Linked DNA regions of Macaca fascicularis. The protein of the gene in region 3 purifies or fractionates together with the protein of the main gene of each other region. This does not show direct contact. Links are inferred from orthologs where the notes say so. Each region holds a gene or a part of one and is shown on either strand. Other genes may lie near its edges.

What was found.
Region 1: the proteins of PHLPP1 (region 3) and SUGT1 purify together in Homo sapiens (affinity purification with mass spectrometry; 5 studies listed by BioGRID and IntAct, with this or other methods). This does not show direct contact. The link is inferred for Macaca fascicularis from reciprocal best matches to the Homo sapiens genes PHLPP1 and SUGT1.
Region 2: the proteins of PHLPP1 (region 3) and USP1 purify together in Homo sapiens (affinity purification with mass spectrometry; 6 studies listed by BioGRID and IntAct, counting the BioPlex papers as one, with this or other methods). This does not show direct contact. The link is inferred for Macaca fascicularis from reciprocal best matches to the Homo sapiens genes PHLPP1 and USP1.

The regions. Positions count from the first base shown.
Region 1 is NC_088391.1:31,869,619-31,878,182, reverse strand, and holds part of SUGT1 (protein SGT1 homolog), read right to left. Parts: intron 6,858-8,564; coding exon 6,804-6,857; intron 6,403-6,803; coding exon 6,386-6,402; intron 5,473-6,385; coding exon 5,450-5,472; intron 3,790-5,449; coding exon 3,693-3,789; intron 2,622-3,692; coding exon 2,514-2,621; intron 1-2,513. UniProt on the Homo sapiens protein: May play a role in ubiquitination and subsequent proteasomal degradation of target proteins.
Region 2 is NC_088375.1:172,259,338-172,267,901, forward strand, and holds part of USP1 (ubiquitin carboxyl-terminal hydrolase 1), read right to left. Parts: exon of another isoform or gene 8,350-8,564; intron 6,232-8,349; 5' UTR 6,166-6,231; coding exon 5,996-6,165; intron 4,298-5,995; coding exon 4,177-4,297; intron 3,622-4,176; coding exon 3,517-3,621; intron 2,660-3,516; coding exon 2,499-2,659; intron 1,087-2,498; coding exon 395-1,086; intron 1-394. UniProt on the Homo sapiens protein: Negative regulator of DNA damage repair which specifically deubiquitinates monoubiquitinated FANCD2. Also involved in PCNA-mediated translesion synthesis (TLS) by deubiquitinating monoubiquitinated PCNA.
Region 3 is NC_088392.1:17,855,426-17,863,602, forward strand, and holds the end of PHLPP1 (PH domain leucine-rich repeat-containing protein phosphatase 1), read right to left. Parts: intron 6,092-8,177; coding exon 4,922-6,091; 3' UTR 3,929-4,921; downstream 1-3,928. UniProt on the Homo sapiens protein: Protein phosphatase involved in regulation of Akt and PKC signaling.

The sequences.
Region 1 (8,564 bases), on a different chromosome or scaffold from region 3:
AGGGGCAGAAGAGGCAAACTGAGAACACAGTAGTATGGTTGAAGAATGGTTAAAATTAACAAATCCAAGACTCAAAAGAGAAAAAAGAGGTAAGAATGCTTAATTATCCTCGACTCTTGCCACACATCTGTGTATTTACCACACATGATATTCTTCCACCATAGGAGGTGGCTCAGTAATATAAGTTCTTAAGTCATTTATCATTTATTCACACTCGATTTAAATAACTCCAAATGGACATGCATTAACTTTTTTTTTTTTTTTTTTTTGAGACAGAGTCTCTCTCACTGTTGCCCAAGCTGGAGTTCAGTGGCGTGATTTCGGCTCACTTGCATTAGCAATCTCGATAGACATATCAAAAAAAGTCAAATTCATAATTTTCTGAACTATATCCCTCTCAAATCTACCTATTTTGTGCTTGATTACTCAAAATAATTCTTTTATTAAACAAATTCTATACTATGTGGATAGGACCAGTGACAGACCAAAATCCTGGTAAGATTTTGTCCCTTTCCTCAATTTCTACTGTCCCAAGCAGCTATTTCAAAAATCTGCCTCATAATTAACCAGCTTTGTTCTTGACAATCTTCAAATAAATAGGCAGATCCTTTTTAACTAGATGCAAAAACTACTTCACTTTGCACTTCCTTCTCCAACACTCTGCAGCTGTCTCCTTTTTGCAAGCCCAACTATCATTCTTCACGACACAGGCCAGCCCCGATCCTGTTCCACAACAGGAAGCTTCACATGTCCTTAGAGCTTCAACCTAATAAATAGTAGCACAGTATGCTGCAGGACTTGTGTATAAAAAAGTAGTAGGCCAGGTGCGGTGGCTCACATCTGTAATCCCAGCAGTTCGGGAGGCCAAGGTGGGCGGATCACGAGGTCAGGAGATCAAGACTATCCTGGCCAACATAGTGAAATCCCGTCTCTACCAAAAATACAAAAATTAGCTGTGTGTGGCAGTACGTGACTATAATCCCAGCTACTCAGGAGGCTGACGCAGGAGAATCACTTGAACCCGATTCAAGGAGGCGGAGGTTGCAGTGAGCTGAGATCACAACACTGTACTCCAGCCTGGTGACACAGCTAGACTCCATCTCAAAAAAAAAAAAAAAGTAATGGAAAAAGCCTACCTATATCATTTATTCCCATTAACTCATTTATCATATACCTTCACACAATTCTACAGCTGAAAGGACTCCAGAGTTCATTTGGTCCACAGCCCTCCTTTCAAAGGTGCTGAAAATTCAGTCTTATAGTCATTTTGTGCCTAGACTAAATTCACAGGGCAAGCAAAGATCCAGAGTCAGATTTTTAAATTTTCAATTCAGTATTTTTCCTACTAAATTACACTACTATCTACATCTTTTGAGTGATACTCTCTGAACATTAATTCTATTGTATATCTCTACTTCTTTTAGAAACTATAAAGGAATCTAAAAACTACTCAAACTATAATTTATTCATTGTTCCCTCATTACAAAGTAACGTAAAATTCATTTTAATTAAAAAAAAAAAAAAAAAAAAAAAAAAGGACAAGGTCAGGACCTGGAGACCAGCCTGGCCAACATGGTGAAACCCCATCTCTACTAAAAATACAAAAATTTAGCAGGGTGTGGTGGCACATGCCTGTAGTCCCAGCTACTTGGGAGGCTAAAGCAGGAGAACTGCTTGAATCCAGGAGGCAGAGGTTGCAGTGAGCCGAGACAGTGCCACTGCACTTCAGCCTGGGCGACAGAAGAAGACTCTATCTCAAAAAAAAAAAAAAAGGAGGATTCATCTTTATAGTAGTTTGTATTTTTAACTGCATGAGGTAGGGTGAGAAAAGTATGTGTACATCAAAACAAACAAAACTGACAAGTTCAAGAGAAGAGACACTGTCGGTATCCAATCTTTTTTTTTTTTTTTTTTTTTTTGAGACGGAGTCTCGCTCTGTCACCCAGGCTGGAGTACAGTGGCCGGATCTCAGCTCACTGCAAGCTCTGCCTCCCGGGTTTACGCCATTCTCCTGCCTCAGCCTCCCGAGTAGCTGGGACTACAGGCGCCCGCCACCACGCCCGGCTAATTTTTTGTATTTTTAGTAGAGACGGGGTTTCACCGTGTTAGCCCGGATGGTCTTGATCTCCTGACCTCGTGATCCGCCCGTCTCGGCCTCCCAAAGTGCTGGGATTACAGGCTTGAGCCACCGCGCCCGGCCAGTATCCAATCTTAAAAGATAGGCTCATTATTGTATCTTTTAAAAAAATCTCTTTATTGAAAAACATTATATCTGTTTTAATAAGTGCACAAACACCACACAAGCTAAGTGGATTTTTACACTTTACTGTACTAGAATTTGAGAGGTAAAATAACCCTTACACTCAAAAGTTATCATTCTTCTTTTCCCTGTCCCTTGTAAATATAAAGGGCTGAAAGAATCTACAAGCTCATAAACACATCGGTGATCAGTTCACCAGTATTTCTATAATTCTGAAAATATTACTAGCAACAAACCTTTTCAATTGTCTTACCTTTGTTGAAAGTACTTTAAACGTGCTCTGTTCTGGTATTATAGGATGAAGAAGTTCCAGTTTCAAATTGTAATCCTCTCCAGAAGGAAGTTTAACCAAAGCAGACAACTAATGAACACAAAATTACCATCACATTTTGCAAATGTATATAATGGAGGGTAAAAAACCTAGACAAAATAATTATAAATCTTCAATGTTACAAATTATTTTAAACATTACATATGGGATTTTAGATTTAAGAACCTCAAAAGGTTCTGAAAGATTTAAGAACCTTTTTTTTTTTTCCATCTGTTATCCTTGACATGAATTCTTATATATATCATTAAACAGCAGAAAAGAGTAAGTTTCATAATATTTGTCATATAATCACACCTATTTGACATTTAAATCTCAAGAAAACATACAAAAGCAAAATGATATATAACAAAAAGTAATTCATGTGCAAAACACACAGCTCTATCACTATCTCTTCTAAATTATCTATTAAAAGGTTCTCTACTAAATGCTAAGAAATCAAGTTGTTAAAAGTCATACTCAAGAGGCTGGGCACAGTGATTCATGCCTCTAATCCCAGCACTTTGGGAGGCCGAGGTGGGTGGATCACTTGAGGTTAGGAGTTCAACAACAGCCTGGCCAACATGGCGAAACTCCATTGCTACAAAAATTCGCCAGGCACAGTGGGATGGGCCTGTAGTCCCAACTACTCAGGAGGCTGAGGCAGAAGAATTGCTTGAACCCAGGAGGAGGAGGTTGCAGTGAGTCTAAATCGCGACACTGCACTCCAGCCTGGGCAAGAGGGACACTCTGTCTCAAAAAACAAAAAAAAAAGTCACATTCATTTAACATGGTTAGTCAATTCTAAGACATGTGTGATCACAAAACTAGATCTTTTTCATGAAGTACACCACAAAAGTATAAACAAATCACATTATCTTACTAATGTAACGAAATTCTGCTCTAAATTTCAAATCTGAAGGGAAAAAAAGCACATCCAGCTATAACTTACCAACATACATATTCTTATCTCAAAGCAATGGCTTCAGATTTTACTCAGCGTTTTCCACATCATCTCAGGAAGAAATGATATTTATCTGATAAAGCGTTATAGATTATTCTGCAATATACTAAATTTACAAATAATAGTAATTAACATTGAAAAATGATTCAAAGTCTACTGACCTCTTTTTCTGAAAATTCCACATTTACATCATTCTTCTGAACATTCTTGATCATAAGTGTAATAACTACTTGAGATTCGGTTTGATACCAGTCATACCTATTAAAAAAAGAAAGAAACTTAAATAACACTTCTAATTTTCTTAAAGCTATTGTCAAAACAAAAACTAGTCTGATAAACAACAAGAGCTCCACCTGGAGGAAGAAAACAGCAAAGCAGCTATTGATTCACAGAAACAACTTTACTTAACTAGTTTTTTATGCTCTGTACTAAAGGAAAAAAATGGTAAGGTAGATGATGCTCACACCTTTCCAGCAGACTTAAATACTTGCATGATTTTCTGGGTTCTGACTCATCTCCAACACTGTTGTGCTTAAACTAATATAAATATTAAAGATGCCATTTATTTTAAACAGCTAATATTTACATGTCATTAACAAAGTTTTTACACTCATGTCATCCAAATACTAAAGATAATCACTTAAATCCCTATTTTACAGATGATAAAACTTAAACTCAGAAAGGTGAAGCAATAAGCCTGAGTCAACACTCCAAGCTCTCATAACTGAAGTTGGAAGCTGATAGACTTTAGCACAGGAAACAGGGGCAAATGAGCTAAAATTAAAATCATATAAAGTTTAACTATGTCAGGCACAACACCATATACAACACTTTCCTTCAATTTCAAGATACATGGGAAGACTAATGGGTCTAGATTCTAATTATGTGCACCTTTTGTACTGAAACTCTAAGAGTTTTTTCCTACTAAATTACACTACTATCTACATCTTTTGAGTGATACTCTCAAAATGTGAAGAGTTTGAAACTCTAAAAACAGAGTTTCAGTACAAAAATAGGGAATTCTCACTTTCAAATTAGACTAGATTAAAAATTCCCTGAGGGCAAAACTGTTTATCCTGTCACTATTATATTCCTAGGACAAAGCACAGTGTCTGGTACACGTAAATTAAGTCAGATGTTGGATTATTTTATGCTCTGAACACCTTATTATTTCATGGTTATGTGCCCTACCCCTGCTGCTGCCGCCAGGGCAAGTCAAAGTTCCTCATCTACTAGGTACTTGGAGTTTTATCCTGTATCTCCCCACAATCACCATGAATAGATTGTTTTTAACATTTCCAGGCCATTTTAGGTAATTATATCCAAAACCAACTTGATTAAAGAAATTAACTTTAAGAGTCTCAGTTTCTCTTTGCAATTCAGTAAGGATGCAAAGCTCCAGAGCAATGGCTTGTTTCTGTTACAGTCCTAAGAATACAAGCTGTACACAGGCTAATGAATAATTAAAAGTCAGAAACTTGCTAGTTGCTTATTCATTATTATAATTGCTGCCCTCAGCAATTAACTTTCAACTCATAGAGAATGTTCCTATAAAAATTTGCTCCAAATACAAAAGGCAGGGTAAGTTACAATTCTGTTAGGTCTACTACTAACTTGTTTATCTGTGTAGTACCATAAACTTAACTGGAAGAGACGCTCCTTAACATATGCAAAGGTAACATAGTATGAAATCAAGTGAAGCAACTTTAAAGATGAGAAATGATTTGGATTTAACTTAAGTATAAATATTAATTCTTAAACAGCCTTAAAATTAGCTTTACATAAAGCTATTACCACAATCTTAGAAAACAAAAACTTAAAAATCACATGGTAAGAATTTACTTACTATTAAACTACAGGGTTTCTTCTTCTTTAGGAATATCTATCATGCATTGTTTTATGAAAAAGAAACACTTACTTGATTTTTGACTGGTGAGTCCACTGGGATGCAGATTGATTTCGGCAAGTTGAAAGAGAAAGATTTTTACAAGTCAGTTTAGCAACTGTATATTAAAATGCACATATTATTAATTTATCCAACACTGCAGTTATTTTGATACAAAATAACTACATGAAAATTTTATTCAAAGTATGGTAATTGTAATTGTTAAATACGACTAGTTTTCAAAAAAAATTAGAATGTTCAGCACTTAAAAAAATCTTAGTTTCAATTTCATAGAAGATTTTTCCTCTAAAACAACAGAGCTTTAAGTAACAGAAAACTTCTAAAGGCATGATTAGAAAAGGTTGCTTATATAAAATGGCCAGTTCTAAGATTGAGCAACTCCCTAAACTAAAACAACATTGTTTTAAAGAAACAGAGTATATTAGCCAGGTTTGGTGGTGTACACCTGTAGTCCCAGCTACTTGGGAGGCTGAGGTGGGAAGACTGCTTGAGCCCAGGAGTTTGAAGCTCAAGTGCACTATGATGGCACCACTGCACTCCAGCCAGCATGACAGGGCAAGACCCTGTCAATTTCCAATTTTCTTTAACTTTTGTCTTAGACTATCACAAAAACCCCTTCAAGTGATTCAAACTGTTTAACCTAAATAAATGCAATAAGGTTTTAGCAACAAAAAGATAAATAATCATCCTGACCATACTAAAACACACGAAATCAACTTTAACCACACACTAAATTCATTAAAATAGGCCAATAATTTTCATGACTGGAAACTTCTATATTCATCAAAAAATGATTTTATTTCAGTTCCTAGAGGAACCAGCACTTAAACGAAATTACTCAATATTTAATTATCAGACAGCTCATCCTGAGTCTTGTCTCAAATATATTTGGTATTTGAAATTTAAAATAAATAATAAAAACATGAAGAATGAAAACTGTGGACTTACCACCTCAGATTCTGAGCCTATTAAAACATAAAAAGGAAACATTTTCAGGTAACAGTGCATTTATAAGCAAAGTTATTTATATGATTCCTATAGCACAAACATACTGATTAAGCAAGCAAATTCTACATACTTTTCAACTAAAGAAAACTACCCAAAAGAAAGTGGTTTCATTTTGCATTCTGAATTCATCTTAGACTCCTTGTAATTTCTTACTGATACACCACACAAACAAATCCACCCTAATCTCCCATTCAACATAAGAAGCTATGCAAAAACCAGTGTATCTTTGGAAGTCCACATCTAAGGAAACATATACTATTTAAAAGAAATTATAAAGGTAAAAACAAATTTGTTTAAACCGAAAAAAATTCAGATGTTTATTTCTTTTTAAACTAAATACCAAGGGAGACCCACATACCATTCTGAGCTTCTTGACACCTTTTAATCCAGACACTGAAATTAGCATCTGCACCTAGAAAGAAAAAACTGACTATAACATCATTCATCTGCACAACCTATTAATCAACAAATACTTACTGAATACCTACTACATCCCAGGCACTGTTCTAGGCACTGGGGAGTCAGTAGTGAACAAAATCTGTCTTAACAGACCTTATTGCCAACCCTTCTATAGTTATCAATATACCAATAGTTTAACATTTAGTTGTTCATCATGTAACATTTTGATTTCTAAAAAATTTTAACTACAGTCAACCTTATTAATTTCACAGATAAAAATAATCTACATTTCTCCCAATCTCGCTGCTCTTAAAGAAGTTTCCTCACACACACAACAAAATCAGACGTAAATCAAACTCTCAATATGCCATCAGTTAGGGTGGGGAGGAAGCTTGGTAACTGGGAGCTGAGTTGAGGTCCAAAAGCCCTTCCCAGCCCCAGCTTGCTCTTCAATGCAGATACCTATTCAGTCCACTATTCTCTCAGTGGCTTTATCTGTTACCATGCCCTTCCTACCAACACTAAGTATCCTTAAATTCTGTGAAGTTTGTCATATCTCCAAGTTACACGGCAGTCGAGGGGCTATAGGTGATGTATTACATATTTACAGATAACAGTGTAAATGAATGCATAAACAAATTATTCATTTCTGGAGACACAGAACAATGATTACATTTAAACAGTCACTGTACATAGTAAGATACGTTAAAAATATTAAAAGTACTCTAAAGAAAAGCTTATTAATTCAAGTTAACTTCAGGGAAGATTAATTTGAAAATTTTAAGTTAGAAATTTCTTAACAAAAATTTCTACTTTACTAATATATAAAAGAAATTCAACTATACCAGCCTTAATAAAAATTCTAAATACACTCTCTCACACACACTGTATTCCAGAGAACTATTATATCAAAATCTTAGATTTGAGTAACCTATTATTTTAAATAATCAGTAACTAAAACCAACCAATTTATCACACAAAGAGGGGAAAAGGTAAAAATTCTTTACCCTGTCTGATAAAAATAGAAGCCTAAAAGCTTAACTTAACTTTTTCCCAGATTTTGGCCGGGCATGGTGGCTCATAGCTGTAACCCCAGCACTTTGGGAGGTCAATGCAGGTGGATCACTTGAGGTCAGGAGTTTGAGACCAGCTTGGCCAACACGACGAAACCCCATCTCTACTAAAAATACAAAAATTAGCCAGGCATGGTGGTGCATGCCTGTAGTCCCAGCTGCTCAGGAGGCTGAGGCAGGAAAATCACCTGAACTCTGGAGGCAGAGGTTGCAGTGAGCCAAGATCGCACTACTGCACTATGGCCTGGATGACAGAGTGAGACTGCGTTCCAAAAAAAGAAACAAAAAACAAACAAACAAACAAACAAAAAAAAAAAACCCCAAAAAACAACAAAAAAAATCTTCTGGATTTAAAGACAAATTTATTTTTAAGTGAAATATCCTCAATAGCAATTTTACCAAACAGGTCCTCTTCTGAAGGCCACCTCTGAAATAACTAAAAAATAAATGTCAATGGCATGATATTAAGATCTTAAGAAAAGAATTCAGGGGCCAGACACAGTGGCTGGTGCCTGTAATCCAGCACTTTCGGAGGCCAAGGCAGGCAGAACACTTGAGTCCAGGAGTTCAAGACCAGCCTGGGCAACGTGGCGAAACCCCATCTCTGAAAAAAATAAAATGCAAAAATAAGTCAGGTGTGGTGGCAT
Region 2 (8,564 bases), on a different chromosome or scaffold from region 3:
CCGAGTAGCTGGGACTACAGGCGTGCGCTACCATGCCTGGCTACTTTTTGTATTTTTAGTAGAGATGGGGTTTCACCATGTTGACCAGGCTGGTCTTGAACTCCTGACCTCAGATGATCTGCCCGCCTCGGCCTCCCAAAGTGCTGGGATTACAGGTGCGAGTTAACATACCCAGCCAAACTTCCCTACTTTATAAGCTGTAAATTAAAATTACTTTAATGACATTACACACACACACACACACACACACACGTAATACTATACACACACACTAACCTAAGCATAGCACTTCAAACACCATAGTTCACATTCAGTGTTAAATTTCCTTCTCTTGAAACAATTTTAGTCAGAGATTATATGCTCCTACCTATCAAAGTCTAAGAATTATACTAACCTTTGTTTATGGGTTTAACTTCATTAACATTCACAGGTGTAACAGTATTTCCTGGAGATTCAAATCCACAAGCATGAGTTGTGTTATCATTTTCATACTTCCCCAAGTCCTCTTCAGGATCATATTCATTTTCTTTAGATTGTCCTTTGGCTCCTTGGTTTGTTGTTATTTTTCCCAGACTACAGAATTTAGAAAGAATGCTGGGTTGCTTAGTTGCAGACTTTAACCAATTTATTTTAACTCTTGATTTCTTTTGTGAGGGTCTTGGACTCTCATTTTCAGAAATACACTTGGGAATTATTTTAGGAGGAATCTCTAATGTATCACTTGTAGCTTTTCTTTTTGATCTAGTTTGTCTCTGGTTCTCTTCCAATGACTGGTGTTCCTTGGATACTTTAACTTTTTTCTTCATGTTACCAAATTCAGTGTCACTTTTTCTTTTCCCATTTCCTTTTGGGAGTTTTTCTTTACAGTCTTCAGAATGCCTCACACTGTCCATCTCCATGCTGTTAATACCACTCATTTCCTCTTTCTGATGAGGTATTTCTTCTACCTTAGTAGGTAATTCTGCCACATTTTTTACTTCTTCTTTTTTTAGGAGTTGGCATGTTTCTTGAATGTTTCCCAAAATACACTGTAATACTTCCTGTGCATCATGCTGTAGATAGCCTTCATACATAGGGTTGAGTTCCCTATAAATAAAAATTTCCATTTCATCTATTCTAGTTTTGAAGATACAGTACATAAAATCTATATAGAAATTAATTCATGTAAGGAAAATCATAAATTATTTCATTTTTTAAATCTCAAGACATTTATTCAGCACTAATTTGGAATTTCTTACCTGTAACTAAAAGAGTAACTTGTACCCTACTTTCATTATAATACCTTGATCCTCTTCTAAATATAATAACTAATACTTAGATAATGCTTACCATATACCAGGTTTTAGTCAAAATGTTTTTTTATCTATGTATACATTATCTTCACAATAACCCTATGAGGTACTATTATCCCCACTATTTACAGATATAGGTACTAAGGCACAGAGAGGTTAATTAACTTGCCCAAGATCACAGAACTACTTAGGATGAAAAGCCAGTATTCAAATCAGCACGCTCTTGGCCACCACGCTACAATAGCTTTTTTTTTTTTTTTTTGGACAAGAGTCTTGCTCTGTTGCCCAGGCTGGAGTGCAGTGGCACAATCTTGGCTCACTGCAACCTCTTCCTCCCGGGTTCAAGCGATTCTCCTGCCTCTGTCTCCTGAGTAGCTGGGACTACAGGTGCGAACTACCACGACCAGCTAATTTTTGTATTTTCAGTAGGGGCGGGGTTTCACCATGTTGGCCACACTGGTCTTGAACTCCTGACCTCAAATGACCCACATACCTTAGCCTCCCAAAGTGCTGGGATTACAAGTGTGGGCTGTGACTGGCCTACAATACCTCTTAATTAAGGTATAGCAATAAATTGCACCTAGTTCTATTTTTAAACTGAATGCTTAAGTGATTGTTTTAAAGACTTGCCCTATTAGTATAATTTTATTTGAATAAGGCTATTTTATATATTGTTTCATTTTTAAGAAAATACCAAAAAGCAATCTAATCCAGTTAGCCAACAGTTCTCTAATCCCATATAACAAAAATAGAATATTTAGAATTTACAGTTCTTACACATATTTTGAATATAGTCCTATAATTCCTAATGTGAAATCCTTAGGACCACACATTTAGAAATTCAGACATTTTCAGATGCAATGATAATATGGCATATAAGTAAAATATTTATCACCGACATGATATGGGAGTACTCTATAATTAAATACATTACTACTTCTATAGAAGAATGTATGAATATTCACATTAGAGATAAATATGAATGACTATAAAAAGCCTCATATAATATATTCAAATCTAACAAATTTAGCACCAAATATATGAAAAAAATTTCCAGTATTCAGAGCCTCTGAGATACAAAGGACTGTGGACCTATAGTTTCTACTTTCCTTGCCCTTTTATTCCTGTTTCTTCACATACCATTCTCCTCCAAGGATATAAACAAGTAGTTAAATTGAAACCCTAAAATTATATTATAGGCTATACCTGAGTGTGTTAAGCAGTCGCCTTGGCTGAGTGGCAAGTTCATCAGTATATTTCTCTGGATTTAAGAGAAAACTAGCTTGGAGCTGTTCAACCGAAATGATTAAGGACTGTAAACTGCATATCAATTCATAACTTGCCAAAGAATCTTCTTTGCAATTTCCCTGTCAAGAAAGAAACACACAAACCAATAATTTTATGAACAAATTAAGTACCTTCCCCCTTTGTCTGTGTCTCACTTAAGAATACTAGGTTTTCTAAGTTGCATTATAGCACTAATTTTAAAGGATATACAAATAAGCCTTATTTTTTATTTTTTTGAGACAGGGTCTCTGTCACCCAGGCTGGAATGCAGTGGCTTGATCGCAGCTCACTGGAGCCTCAACCTCCTGAGATCAAGCAATCCTCCACCTCAGCCTCCCAATTAGCTGGAACTACAAGCTCACACCACCACGCCCTACTAGTTTTCATATCTTTAGTAGAGACAGGGTTTTGCCATGTTACCCAGGCTGGTCTCAAAATCTTGCACTCAAGCGATCCATCACCCACCCTCACCTCCCAAACTGCTGGGATTAGAGGCATGAGCCACCACGCCTCGTCTTTTTTTGTAATTTTAAGAGGAATTTTTGAATTACTATTTATGTGACTTACAATGGTTTTTTAATTATGGAAGTCAAAGATTTCTTTAAATACTGTGTAGTTACTTAAATTTTAAGTCAATTTGAAAACACAATGGGTAAATAGGTTGTACATGGGTGTGACATATTGTGATTATAGTACACAATAATGTATAGTATACAAGTAACAAAAGTTTGATACACATATTACAGGAGCAAACAATCTGTAAAAGGGAATTATCTAGTTAGCTACCTTGAAAGAATGAAAAATAATTGCCTGACAATAGTTCGTTAACAGAGAAATAATCTTTGTCACCCACCCCCGCAGTCTCTTCATTTCCAGGCAAGTAAATTTCCATTAATTTACTTTTGCTTTTTACATTATTTTCTGTTACTGTTCTTACCTTGTCTTTTTGATTGGCTTCATCCTTTAGAGCTTCTTTCTTCCTTGAAATAACATTAAATAAGTGCTTTACTCCAGATTTAAAACCGGGACAAAAATATAATACCTATAAAAAGTGAGACTGTCTAAGTGTTCACTGAACAATATACGTAAAATCATTAAAACAACATCATGCTTTCTATAGGCCCTTTTAATGTGTAGTACCTAAAATTCTGAGATTAAGTTTTGTGTCAAAATTTGTTCTCCACTTCATCAGTAGTAGCCCAGTGTATTCCCTCACTGGCACAAAGCACTGAGTCTGGGCAGATATTGCTAAGACTTTAAGGTTACAAGAACACACAACACAAAGCCAACGTTATTTCCAAGGGATAAGATACGTATTACTGTAGCACCAGCAATCAGAGAAAGAAATTAAAGGTTTGAACTTCCACTTAAGGTCTACTCAATTTTGCTATCCCACCTTTATTTAGTCTATCACTTTCTCTTATCCCAAAGCAAGTTTAACAACATGCAACGTATTATTTTAGCCTGTTCTGGTTCATTTACAATCAAAGGCAAAGACAGTATGGACATTAAAGTCCTCCAATAACTCAGAAACATTAAATGTTACATTATTCTTTGCCTACTAAAGTTTTGTTATATAGCAAAACTGTCAATTTACCTGAAGTATACTATTAAGATAGCAAGTATTGCCGAGATTATTCAGTCCCACAAATGGTAACAAGTTTTCTCTCTTCTCACAGTTTATAGGTGAAGACTGTGCTGCAGGAACAACTTGATCACTATTAAATATAGAAGGGGGAAAAGATAATCAAGTAGTTATCTCAAAGAAACAAGGTGAAAATATTACTTCCATAGATTTAGTCTTTTCCCAAAAGTTGTATAATCTGAAAAGTATGTGAATCTTGTTCAGATGACATTTTAAGAAATACAGGCTCAAAAACTGCTATATGCCCAGAATGAAAGTTTTTAAAACATTATTACACATACCAAGCCACAGAACAATTCCCTTAAAAGGATGTTAATCCTATTTTACAGAGCAAAAAATTGAGGAACTGAGAGACTGTGATTTGTTTTACCTACTTTGACATTTTAATCAAGTAGTGTAACTGAACAGAAACCTGGGAATAAATTAACCATGGCAATATTTGGGAGAGGCTGAACTAAGAAAGATTATATTAATAAGAATTCAAGGAAAAGAAAGTCTATGAAGAAAATTATATGGCCGGGCGCGGTGGCTCAAGCCTGTAATCCCAGCACTTTGGGAGGCGGAGACGGGCGGATCACGAGGTCAGGAGATCGAGACCATCCTGGCTAACACGGTGAAACCCCGTCTCTACTAAAAAATACAAAAAACTAGCCGGGAGAGGTGGCGGACAGCTGTAGTCCCAGCTACCCGGGAGGCTGAGGCAGGAGAATGGGGTAAACTCGGGAGGCGGAGCTTGCAGTGAGCTGAGATCCGGCCACTGCACTCCAGCCTGGGCGACAGAGCAAGACTGTCTCAAAAAAAAAAAAAATTATTTAGCTATCTCTCACTTAAAAATAAAATGTTCAGAAGGTGAGTGTGGTGGCACTGAGATGTAATCCCAGCTACTTTAGAGGACTGCTTGAGCCCAGGAGTTCAAGACCAGCCTGGGCAACACAAGGAGACCCCGTCTCAAAAAATAAATACATTATTATTCTTTTACTTCTTTAACAACAAAAAAAAACCCACTAGGTCTTCCCAGTATTTTATTTTACAATTGCTAGCTATTATTACTCCAGCACCTCAAAGTATTTAGAAGTATGAATGCTGATAAACAAAAGGTTCACTCTCAAACAATCTCCTCAACTGGTTATTGATAGCTATTGGAAATTAACACATGGGACCAAATCCACCTTAGTCACCCAGCAGAGTGACTATATGTTAAACAGGGAAGCAGTACAGACTCCAGCTAGAGCTGCTGGTGGTGGAATAAAGTATTTCACTTTGTTCTGATTTATTTTCTGTAGCTAAAGAATTTATTTGCATCAAAAGCATTACTTATTTTTAAGTTTATTTCTATAATTTGCAATCGTATGCCTCCAACAGGTATGACTAGTCACATGACTACAGTTTAAAATGTCTTATAACCGTCAAGTCTTCTGAACCAAACAAATATATATACATATATATATAACCTTTTACCCCTACACAAATGTTTTGCACGACAAATAAATTTAAACTCAGAAAGACAATTTTAATCTATGAATATTTCTCCAAGTTAGTCTACATGGCTGAGCACAGTGTTCATGAGTTAAACATTATGGATGTGATCCCTATGGGGAACCACCAGTTTTGCTGTTCCTACTATAAACGGCTAGACTTGACTTATTAAGAAGTACACTGAAGTGTACTTTTTTGTGCCTCTATAGACTATCAAGTCAGAGTGGAGGTGTCAACCAAGTTCACTGCTGCTTCACTGTAGAATTTTTAAAGTACAGAAATGTAAGATACATACATTTCAGATGCTCTATATTCAGAAGCTTTTTCTTCATTTTCTTGAGAATCTGTGAAATCCAAAGCTCTCTTAGTTTCCTTTTTCTGAAAAAACTTTAAGGAAAGTCTGTTTTTCTTTGATGGGCTACCTCTTGAAAGTCCATTACTTTCACTAGGTATGACACCAGGCATTTTTTTCTCAAATCCCAAGGAGTTGTCAATAATTAATTTATAGAGGAAAGTTGTAATCAATTATATCTGTTAATCACAGAGAAAAAATTTCATTAGTTTTCGGTTATCAGTTTTAGGCAACAAAATCATCAATTTTGAAAACAAATTTACCAAGGGAATGGTACAAATTAGAAATTAATATTTGAAAACCTAATGCCTGCCAATAGGCACTCAATATTTATTGCTTAAATGAAAAAGCTTACCACACTATTCTTAAAGAACAAAAAATAGAAGCTACTGAATTTTTAAAATCAGTCTGCTATGGATTAAGGGTCGCATTACAAAATATCCTATTTAGCAGACCTACAGTAAAGTAGTGTAAGTAGTAAAAACTTAATATTTCATTATAATAATTCATTCAGAAAAATTGAGCACTATCACCTCTAATTCTCAAGTACATGGAAAGGATGAATGGAAAATCAAAGTAGTGCTGGACGATAATGAGTCCTCTCTTCCAATGCCTTTTCTAGTTATTAACATGAATACATGAAAATAAAGTACCTAAAAAGTTTATTAAAGTATAATTTGCATTCAAGGCATAGAGATGGTGTTAAGATATACCTAAAACCGTAAAGTTTTATTATCTTTCAATAATAAAACACATGCAAAGTTGAGACAGTGATACAAAACACTGTTGGATGCACTTTGTGTAAATCCAATTCTTAATGAGCCAGAAATCACAATACTCGTTTTCCAAACTTTTTTTAAAACTTAGGATTCCAAAAATAGTGCTTTGAGTAGGAAAAAAGATGATTTGGTTTGCCATTTGCAACTTTCCCACCCTGTTTTAAAGCAAAACTTTCACAGGAAAAAATATGGCAACATTTGTAGGAGTTACTAATATTTTCTACATCAGTCCTATTTTTCAGGACATGTGAGGAAAAATTATCTAACTAGAGTATTACCATAATAAAATTACTTAAAGCCCAAAACTTCAGCAACGAGTTTCAAATTTAAAATGCAGAGTAATAAAATGAACTACACAAAACTCACTCAAATTCCATCCTTAATAAGCATTTCACGTGGCTGACACTGATCTAGGAATTCACACTAAACTCAGCACTGAAACCATTTTTAAGACCCAAGTCAGGAAGAACTGGAAAAGCTGATCAATCTCCCCATTCTGTCTCCAACTTCACTTACTCTCCTATCCACCTAATGCTTCACCTAATGCTTCTGAGGAAGCGCTGTCTTCTAAATGACAAACTAACCTACGCTAAGTTCTCAGGGATCGCCAAGCATTAATGATTCTGATAAAATGTTTTTCTCGAGAGCCAATTCTAATGGATGACAGAAACTGGATCTCAAACCGACAGAGTAACCAGACTTCACAGGAGGGAAGAATGATTAGGCAGGTGAAATAGCGGATCGTCAGCTTAATCAACAAACCAAACCTCCTAGTCCCTCAAAGCAATGTTCACACCGAGAATGTAACATTTTGCCAGGTGCAGTATCTTCCGTGCTATTATTTCTTGCTCCTGGCTTTCCTTATAACTGGGGGGGGCTGTTACATGCAAAATATTTCTCCTGTAACTAAGTCAACTTTCGCAGAAAGCACGACGAAACGACCATTATCTGTTGACAGCGTGAATACTCAGTCCCAACAGTTTTAAATTCTTTTTGAGATGACACGACTCGATTCCGATTTTTCAAGAAAAATATACAAGGACATCTTCGCCAAGGTTTAAGACGCGGCGTTCTAAACACTTCTGGAAAAAGTGTAAGTGAAAGAAAATGCGCGGTAAAATTTCGCAATTACTGACCGATCCAGGGCAACCTGCGTGGAAACGTTTCTTTCTCCCCAACCTTCACCGCTCTCGGGAACGGAAAGGAAGCTGGAAGAACCAGCAGCGACTAGGCTGCCGGGCCGGGGGAGGCTGGCGGCGGCGTTCTCGGCCCACACCCCCGCGCCGGGCGCCCTCGCCGCGGAGTTGGCCTATTTACGCCCAGCCCGCACCTGCCTTCTCGCGTCCCGGCGGCGGCAAGACAGGCGCCCCGCCCGAGGCACACAAGGCTCCCGCTGGCAGCTCGACCAGGGTGCGAGGCCAACACGGTCCCGGGGGTCTCCCCGGCAGCTCCTCTCCCGCGCCGGCCGAACTTGCCCCCGCGCCGGGGCGCCGGCCCCTCCTCCCAGGCCCTCCTTACCTGGTCATGGCCCAAAGCGAGGTCCGCGGCAGTGACGCCGGCAAGTCCAACCCGAATGAGTGTGGGTGCGACAGGTGAGTCCCTGTTCCGAGTCCGCCGGGTCCCCCCGGCCCCAGGAAAATCTGGTCGGATCACCCTCCCCGCGGGGGAGTGACCATCCGCTCCCAAGAGCGGGAACCCCGACCGCCGCTCGGTCCCGCCTTGCACCGGCACCA
Region 3 (8,177 bases):
TTGCTGTGTTGCCCGGGCTGGCCTTGAACTCGTGGGCTCAAGTGATCCTCCAGCCTCAGACTCCCGAGTCGCCGGGACTAACTTCAGGCCCACAGTACCATACCTGGCTTAAAAAGGTGCTTTTGCTGCATTCCCCATTATTTTCTTTCAGACCCCCCTTAGTTCCTTCATTTGTAGCAATGACAATATTTACATGTATTTAGTATTTAGCATTTAAATTACTTCAAATACATGACCTAATTTGATTGCTGGAGAGTTAGGTTAGGCAGATACCAGAAATCCACACTTTATAGAAATTCTATCTGTTTTTAGGATGAGTTCACGTCCTTTGCAGGGACATGGATAAAGCTAGAAACCATCATTCTGAGCAAACTGTCACAAGGACAGAAAACCAAACACCTCATGTTCTCACTCAGAGATGGGAATTGAACAATGAGAACACTTGGACACAGGGTGGGGAACATCACACACCAGGGTCCATTGTGGGGTGGGGGGCAGGGGGAGGGACAGCATTAGGGGAAATACCTAATGTAAATGACGAGTTAATGGGTGCAGCACACCAACATGGCACATGTATACATATGCAACAAACCTGCACATTGTGCACATGTACCCTAGAACTTAAAGTATAATAATAATAATAATTTTGTGTGTGTGTGTGACAGAGTCTCTATCACCCAGGCTGGAATGCAGTGGCGTGATCTCGGCTCATTGTAACCTCCGCCTCCTGGGTTCAAGCAACTCTCCAGCCTCAGCCTCCCGAGTAGCTGGAATTACAGGCATGCACCACCGCACCTGGCTAATTTTTGTATTTTTAGTAGAGACGGGATTTCAGTATGTTGGCCAGACTGGTCTCGAACTCCTGACCTCAGGTGATCCACCTGCCTCGGCCTCCCTAAGTGCTGGGATTACAGGCATGAGCCACCGTGCCCGGCCTGAAATTCTATCTTCTGATACCATGTCAGGAATGAACTCAAAATACCCTTTGATGAATGTTCACATGATCAAATGGAATTCTTCTCTCCCCTGCAGTGCCAGTGGTGAGGGGACTCTCAGGTGTTATCCTATGAGGTCCAAAACATGTCAACAGATGCTTTGGGTTTCGCTTTTTTTAACCGTGGAGAAAGGGGAATTGGAAATTAGATGGATGTTGAAGACAGACTTCTCTCCCAGCAAAACTATATGATTCTGGTTATACATCTTAATATTTCTGCATGTCGATTTCCCAAGGAAAATCAGGCTCATCACAGGAACCAGCTGTCATCACTTCTACTGTCTTAAAAAGCGGAAACAAAAGCGGAAACACAGCTTCTCTGCTATACTTGCCAGTGGTATAGGAGATTGCTATCATGTGTTTAGGAAAATACAGTGATAAGAAACTTAAACACTTTGTTTCTTCTGGGAAAGTGAAGAAAGGATAAAGAAGAATGAAGCCCATTTCCACCCAAAGTCTAAGCTTACCAGCAGGTGGTGCTGTGACAAAAGCAATCAAGAGAAACCAAGGCAGGCAGGTGGGGTTTCTGGGCCCCAGAGATTGGCTCTGCTACCTCTCATCAAAGCCAGTGTTCAGGAGCGGGAGCAAAGGGCAGGAAGCTTGAGGGCAGCACAGGGTGGGCAGCACGCACTGGATCCAACACCAAACAGTTTCAAGGGTCCTTGATCAGGGGCTCTTCTCCTGGCAAGGCTCACCAGAGCTCTCCCCTTTCGCTTTCATTTCTTCCTTTCTCTCCCCTCAAAAGCCCTTTCCTAATTACCTGGATTTCCAGCAGGAAGCAGGGAATAGAGCAGGCGGGGATGCCCTTCTCCTTAGCACTTACCCTGCAGACACTGTGGCTTCAGGGATCTTCAAATATTAAGGACTTTAATATTCAGAAAACACTTTCAGTTGTATAAGCAGCTCTACATATACTATTAGATGGTATCTGGATAAACAGAAATGCAAAGAAACTCCTCAGAAATAACTGAGGCAGCTCCCATGCAAGAGCATGGAGACCTATCAGTAAGTCTGTGCCACTTTGGTCACTCATCATGTGCTCGACTGAATTAGCTTTTCATCTAAATGCCCTACTTACCCCAAGCCTCCAAAGGGCAGAGTCTCACTCCATATCTCCAAGGTGCCTTACATGTAGTATGTGCACAATGAGACCGTAAGAGACAATAAACCCAGCAGCAAGCACAACTAAACCGGAGGACTCAGGAAAAGAGCAATTCCAAGCCTCATACCCCTTTCTCCTGCAGCAGACACAGAAGTTAGGAAATGAGGCGTCCCTGCATCACAGCTTCTGGGTCCCAGGGGCTGCCCCGGCCAGAGTTGCTATGGGGCCGATTTTAGAATCTGGAAGCGACTGCTGCCTCCGTGGGCCACGCTGAGCCGGTTCTGACCGCTCTGGAAGTGAGCTGCAGTGGAAGAGATCCACATACACGGCCTGGGTCTGCTCCAGCCACGGGGACAGGTGAACCCTGCCCAGAGGTGGATTTAAGAACTGAGGAAGTCAGAGAACCAGCCCAGACCTGCAGGACCTAAGGCATTGGCGTGAAAGCTTGGAGTTGTCCACATCTGCTTCAACCCAGTGGGGCAGCCCCAGGGAGAAGGCAAGGGGCTGGCAAGTGAACCAGGGCAGGGGTCCCGAGGTGGTTCAGCTTCCAGTCTCAGCCAGAGTGCTCCGCCTGCACTGGGGAGTCAGCTCCCTTGGTCCCTGGGTCCCTCACTGGGCCGAGATGAGGCAATTCTCTTCCATGGCCTCAGTGGTTTCCAAAGAGCACTGTGTGCAAGTAGCCTGACATGGAAGTGAAGTACGGCCATTATGAAGACAAAGTCCACCCAGCGGCCTCCTAGAGGGGGATGCAGAGCCCACCACCGAGTCTACTAGTTAAGAAATAAGAACTACCCTGTCACTGAACTAGCCAGGTCCCACCCAAGGGCGGACCTAAAGAAGAAAGCCAGGTCTACATAGGAAGGTGGTCCATGTGAAATGAAGACCAACAGTATCTTCCACACACGGTTTCCAAGTGCAGGGTGGGGGCGAGGTGAGGGCGGAGGCCCACTGTCTGTAAACGCGGTTGAGTAGTAGCTGGGAATACTGGCTTTCTAAGGATACGCCGCTGCACCTACATGATTCCTGCTGGTGGTGGAGGGCAAGCCAACCAGCTCGACTGACCCTGTCCCAGTAAGAGGCAGCTTAACCCGCTTATGTGAGCTACAGGCCCCCAGAAAACTGAAAACCATCTTGGCTTCGTGAGAGTAAGGTTGTCCAGGGATCGCCTCTATCTGTACAACCTCTGTCTGTCCCCCTTCTCACATCTTCCCTAAGAAGTACCCAAACATCTTACCCTAAGTCGTAAGAAGAAATAGAAAAGCTGTAAGATCAGGCCTGGCACGGTGGCTCACACCTGTAATCCCAGCACTTTGGGGAGGCTGAGGTAGGCGGATCACTTGAGGTTAGGAGTATGAGATCGGCCTGGCCAACATGGTGAAACCCTATCTTTACTAAAAATATGAAAATTAGCTGGGCGTGGTGGTGTGTGCCTGTAATGCCAAGTATTCAGAAGGCTGAAGCAGGAGAATCACTTGAACCCGGAAGGCGGAGGTTGCAGTGGGCAGAGAACACACCACTGCGCTACAGCCTGGGAGACAGAGTGAGACTCCATTTCAAAAAGAAAAAGAGAAAGAAAAAGAAAAAGAAAAAGGAAAAGGAAAAGAAAGAAAAGAGAAAAGAAAAGAAAAGCTATAAGATCAGCTAATTATACTGTTTAGCATTCAGTTAATTTCACATTTCATTCAATGTAGGTTAACGGATGTTTTTCTCTTTAAAAAAAAATCAGAAATATCTGATAACCCCAATATTCCATCCATTCTTTCCAAACCCAAGCTAGTGTGACTGTCTCCAAGACACATCTGGCTGCTGAGACAAAAGCAGATACTTGTAAATACTTGTAAATTTCATATTTATTATAACAAAAATTATGACATGTCCATTTGTGCATTCTGCTTGAGTGTAACTCTGGGTATGTAAATGGCCTAATGGGGCACTATACAGCCATGCTGATTGTGGCAGCAGTAAGGAACACAGTTAAAAATTGTCTGTCAAAGTGGAGAGGCTGGGACAGGGAGGAAAACGGGTTTAGGGCCTTTGGGTGCAGGCTCTTGTGTGGTGGCCTAAGATCCACTTCCTCTGGACAGAAACGCTGCAGCTGCTCAGCCTCCTCATTCAGTGAAGTGAGGGTGAGTTGGGAGGCAGGCAGGCTCCTCAGAGGGGAGGGGAAGGGGAAACGTCAGTTACTTGGGCTGTGTCCTCACGCCAAGACTACAAAACATCGTAAGCCTCACTATACAACACTGAGCTATTTACAATAGAAATTCTCAATCGCTGTTCTCTCAGAGAAAATTAGTGAATCCCAGTGACTTAAGTCACCTGACAGAGTAAAGCAACTCCTAGGAGTTAGTCTCCATATTCTACAAATGTCTATTATTTTCAAGACCAAAAAAAAAAAAAAAAAAAAATCCTTTTCCCCCCAAAGAAATACAGAATTACAATATTATTAAATCATTTAGCAACGGCAGCCTGCCCTGCCTTCCAAACAAACAAAACAACAAAAAGCCATTTTAAAAAATAGCACATTATCATTAACTGTTTCTCTGTAATATATTAAACCTTTTGCTCTTTGTCTTTACATATCTGATATGTTAGGGGGAGAAGTTAACAAATGTAAATCATATTGGTAAAGCATCACTAGAAGAAAGTGGTGATTATTTTAAAAAATAACCCAAAGAAAGAGAACCTACAGATTAGCTGCGACGACAGGTTGGGAACAGTGTCCGGGGGAAGGACGTGGAGTAAAACCCCTGGTTTAATGTGAGCCTGAGAGACTCTTGCAACTTGGTATTTTGTGGTTAGTTTATTTGTTAAATAGCTCGGCTGGGTCATAGTGGCGTGTCGTAATAATCTGGCAGCTGGTCCAGTTGGTAGTGCCGCGGCAGCTGCGGCTGGAGCTGAGGTGGCGGTGGTGGCTGCTGCTGCTGCTGTTGCTCCTGGTGATGCTTCATGATTTCTTTGACCTCCTCTTCCAGCTCCGGGGGTATGATAAACTGATCATCGGGATCTGGCTGAGCCGGGGCAGCAAAATAGCCTCCAGGCTTTCGAAGAGGTGCATCTGTAGCCACCTCTATCATATTGTGGCTCCTTTCCTGGGGCGCAACAGAGCCATTGGCCCTCCGGCGCCCAATGGTCCCAACGGCAGAGAAGTCTGCCTTCCTGGGCAGACCCGGCTCATCCTCGTTGGCGCTGATGACAATGCCCTCATCGCTGGCCTCTGCTGGCACCTGAAGCAGGTGCTGCTGTTTCTCCTTCTCCTTGGCCCGGCTGCAGTGGATGTCCACCTCCACCTCCACCCGGCTGCCATTGGTGAAGACGCCCTCGATGGGCTCCTCATCGTCACTGTCAAGGCCGTTGTCGGAGAAGGCGCTAGAGAACGTGGCGCTGGACAGCTGGCGCTGGAAGGAGTTGGACAGACAGACGGGGTGGAGCATGCAGCGCTGCTCACTGGGGTAGGCAGGGCTGTTCTCGCTTAGGGCTCCGGGCGGGGGCTCATCGGAGGCTGTGGACCCCACCTCGCTGCTCATCTCGGAAGTGGAGAGCTCACTGCTGATCTCGGAAGCCATGCCGCTGCTGGAGGACGGCACGCCCAACCCGTCTGAGGGCCGATCCTTGATCACCATGTTCACTGAGGGAGGGAAGATGCCAGGGCTGGGTGGTGGCACGGCCCCACCGGCGCTGAGCTCGCAGCAGCAGAAGCTGTCCTCGGTGACACTGAGCTGCACCACCACAGCGCTGATGCTGTCGTGGCAGCCGTAGCTCTGGGCCAGGGTACACAGCTTCTTGGCGGCAGCCAGGGCGTCGGGAACATTGCGCACGGCCTCCACGGCCTCCTCGAGGGACAGGCTATCCCACAACCCCTTACTGCCTAGGATGAAGAACTCATCCTGGGGGGTCAGGAGCACGGACTGCACGTGGGGGCGAGGCACCACACTGGGGTGGAGGAAGGTGTAGCCCAGGATGCGCGTGGACTCAGTCACCCCGTTCACCTTGCCATCCTGGAAGAACAAGGGTTTGCAGAGAGACAGTTAATACAGAGCACCTGTGGCAACTGTGCAGGTTCCCTGCGGGTCCTTCGACTGTCTCAACTGTAGGACCACAAAGAAGTGCTGTGTGGCCCACAGAGGAAAGAAGGGCTCACTCTCTAGTGAGTAGTTAATGTGCACCTGTCATCAGAATCCCCAGGTAGTAGGCCTGGGCAGGTAAAGAGCAGTAGGGACAAAAGGAAAAGATTTTGGTTATGTGTGTTACTGGGACCCCATTCACACTAGGTCACAAGTCCTGCTGTTTATCTAAAGCAAGCCATCATCTAGCCTTACACACAGCAAGCATAGCTGGCCAGCTCCTCCTATAAAGGTGGGTTTACATCTTCCCTCCCTCAGTGAACATGGTGATCAAGGATCGGCCCTCAGACGGGCTGGGCGTAGGAAGACTCTGAGGTAGGAAGAGTCTTTCTGACAGAAGCCAGTCCTGAGCAAAGATACACGAGGCAGGCATATATCAAGACAATGCTCCTGAATCTTCCATTGCTCTCCATGATCACAAGTGGCTGTAGTGTCTAAAAGTCCAGAGAGGACTTGAAAGTACTTAAGAGGTGGAGAAAACCTTGGCATGACTAGGTGGGTAAGAATGCTCCTGTCAGGAGAACAGATGCTAAAGAAGAAATGCCAATTCTTACAACTTCCTCGAACTTGATTTCCTGTTGACCAATGGAGAAGGCAAGATCTGCTGGCTTTAGTTCAGCTGTGTGCATGCTATTTAAATCAATTACCAAAGTGCCAGACCACTTGCCAATAAAAAGATTTTTTTTTCCATGTGTACCTGCTTTGTTCTTTATTCTTCAAATTTTGAGATTCTAAGGTCCATGACATATCTCTACATGCCCTAGTTTTAACACCTCTTTCCAGGAAAGGCTTCATTACAACAAATCCCTGTCTGGGATGAGCAAGTGTTTCTTCCAGAGAACATCCATTTCCTTTCCAGTCCTACCACTTTCCTTTATTTGGGATTTGGCAAGGTGCCTGCTTGTCCTAGGGATGTCTTTCCCAGCTTCTCACACAACTTTGCCACACCACACTTATAAGCAGATAAGCATTCCTATTAGTACAATTAGTAAGATGGGCTTCAAGCACAACCTTAAACTGCCTTGATTCTACTGACATAATCTGTCCCCAAAGCATGGAATTTGGCAGAAACTGTTCTTGCTGTTCTGCCCATCCCTTTAGATTTCTCTCCATCAGAACCAATGGTTTTGTGATTCATGAGCACTGAAGCTTCCAACATGGGCTCCAGGAGTTCTGCTCCATTCGCTAATTCATCAAGGTGTTGGTCATTTGCCCTGTGCCTGAAAAAATGACATGGGCAGACAGCAGTGACCTGCAGATAAACATCTACCTTCAAGAAGTTTCCAGTCTTACACTGTTGATAAAACCCACAGAACCACGTACAGTTTGAGGTGGACTCTGGTGAAAGCTTATAGTCCAGTAGAGAAAAAAGACTGATTCCACATAGGCTTTGATGAGGGCCTTAAGAAAGAAACAGAAACACTCAAGCTATACATGGGATTCTGTGCAAATGAGTCTGTGTGAATTTGTTCTCTGTCTATTCTTGGAGCAGAGAGGATGAACATGGATGGCAGACACTGTGTTAGGGAGCAGAAGACAGTCTAATGTGGACAGAATGCACTGAATTCAACTTTAGTTCAACACTATGCCAAACACAATTGAAGGTAAATGATTTCAGCAGCCTACATGAATCATGGTTTGCACGTCAGACTTCTCTTGTTTTCCGTGCCTCGCCTCTTCCCCGCTTTTGTTTGCATTGCTTAATACTCAACAATGAGGTTTTGTTTTGTATTGTATTTTACTTCTCTACCTTGAGACACGTCCTCCAAACACACACACCACAGTCCGTGCTGTGGGGACTGCCCTGTGCATTGTGGGGTGTTGAGCGGCATTGTCCTAGCAGCGCTGTAGGATGCTCAGTGGTCTCAATCCACTGCATGCCAATCGCACTCTCCGCCCCAACTGTGATGACCAAAAATGTCTCCATATGCTGCCAAACGTCTTGTGGGGAAGCAAACTG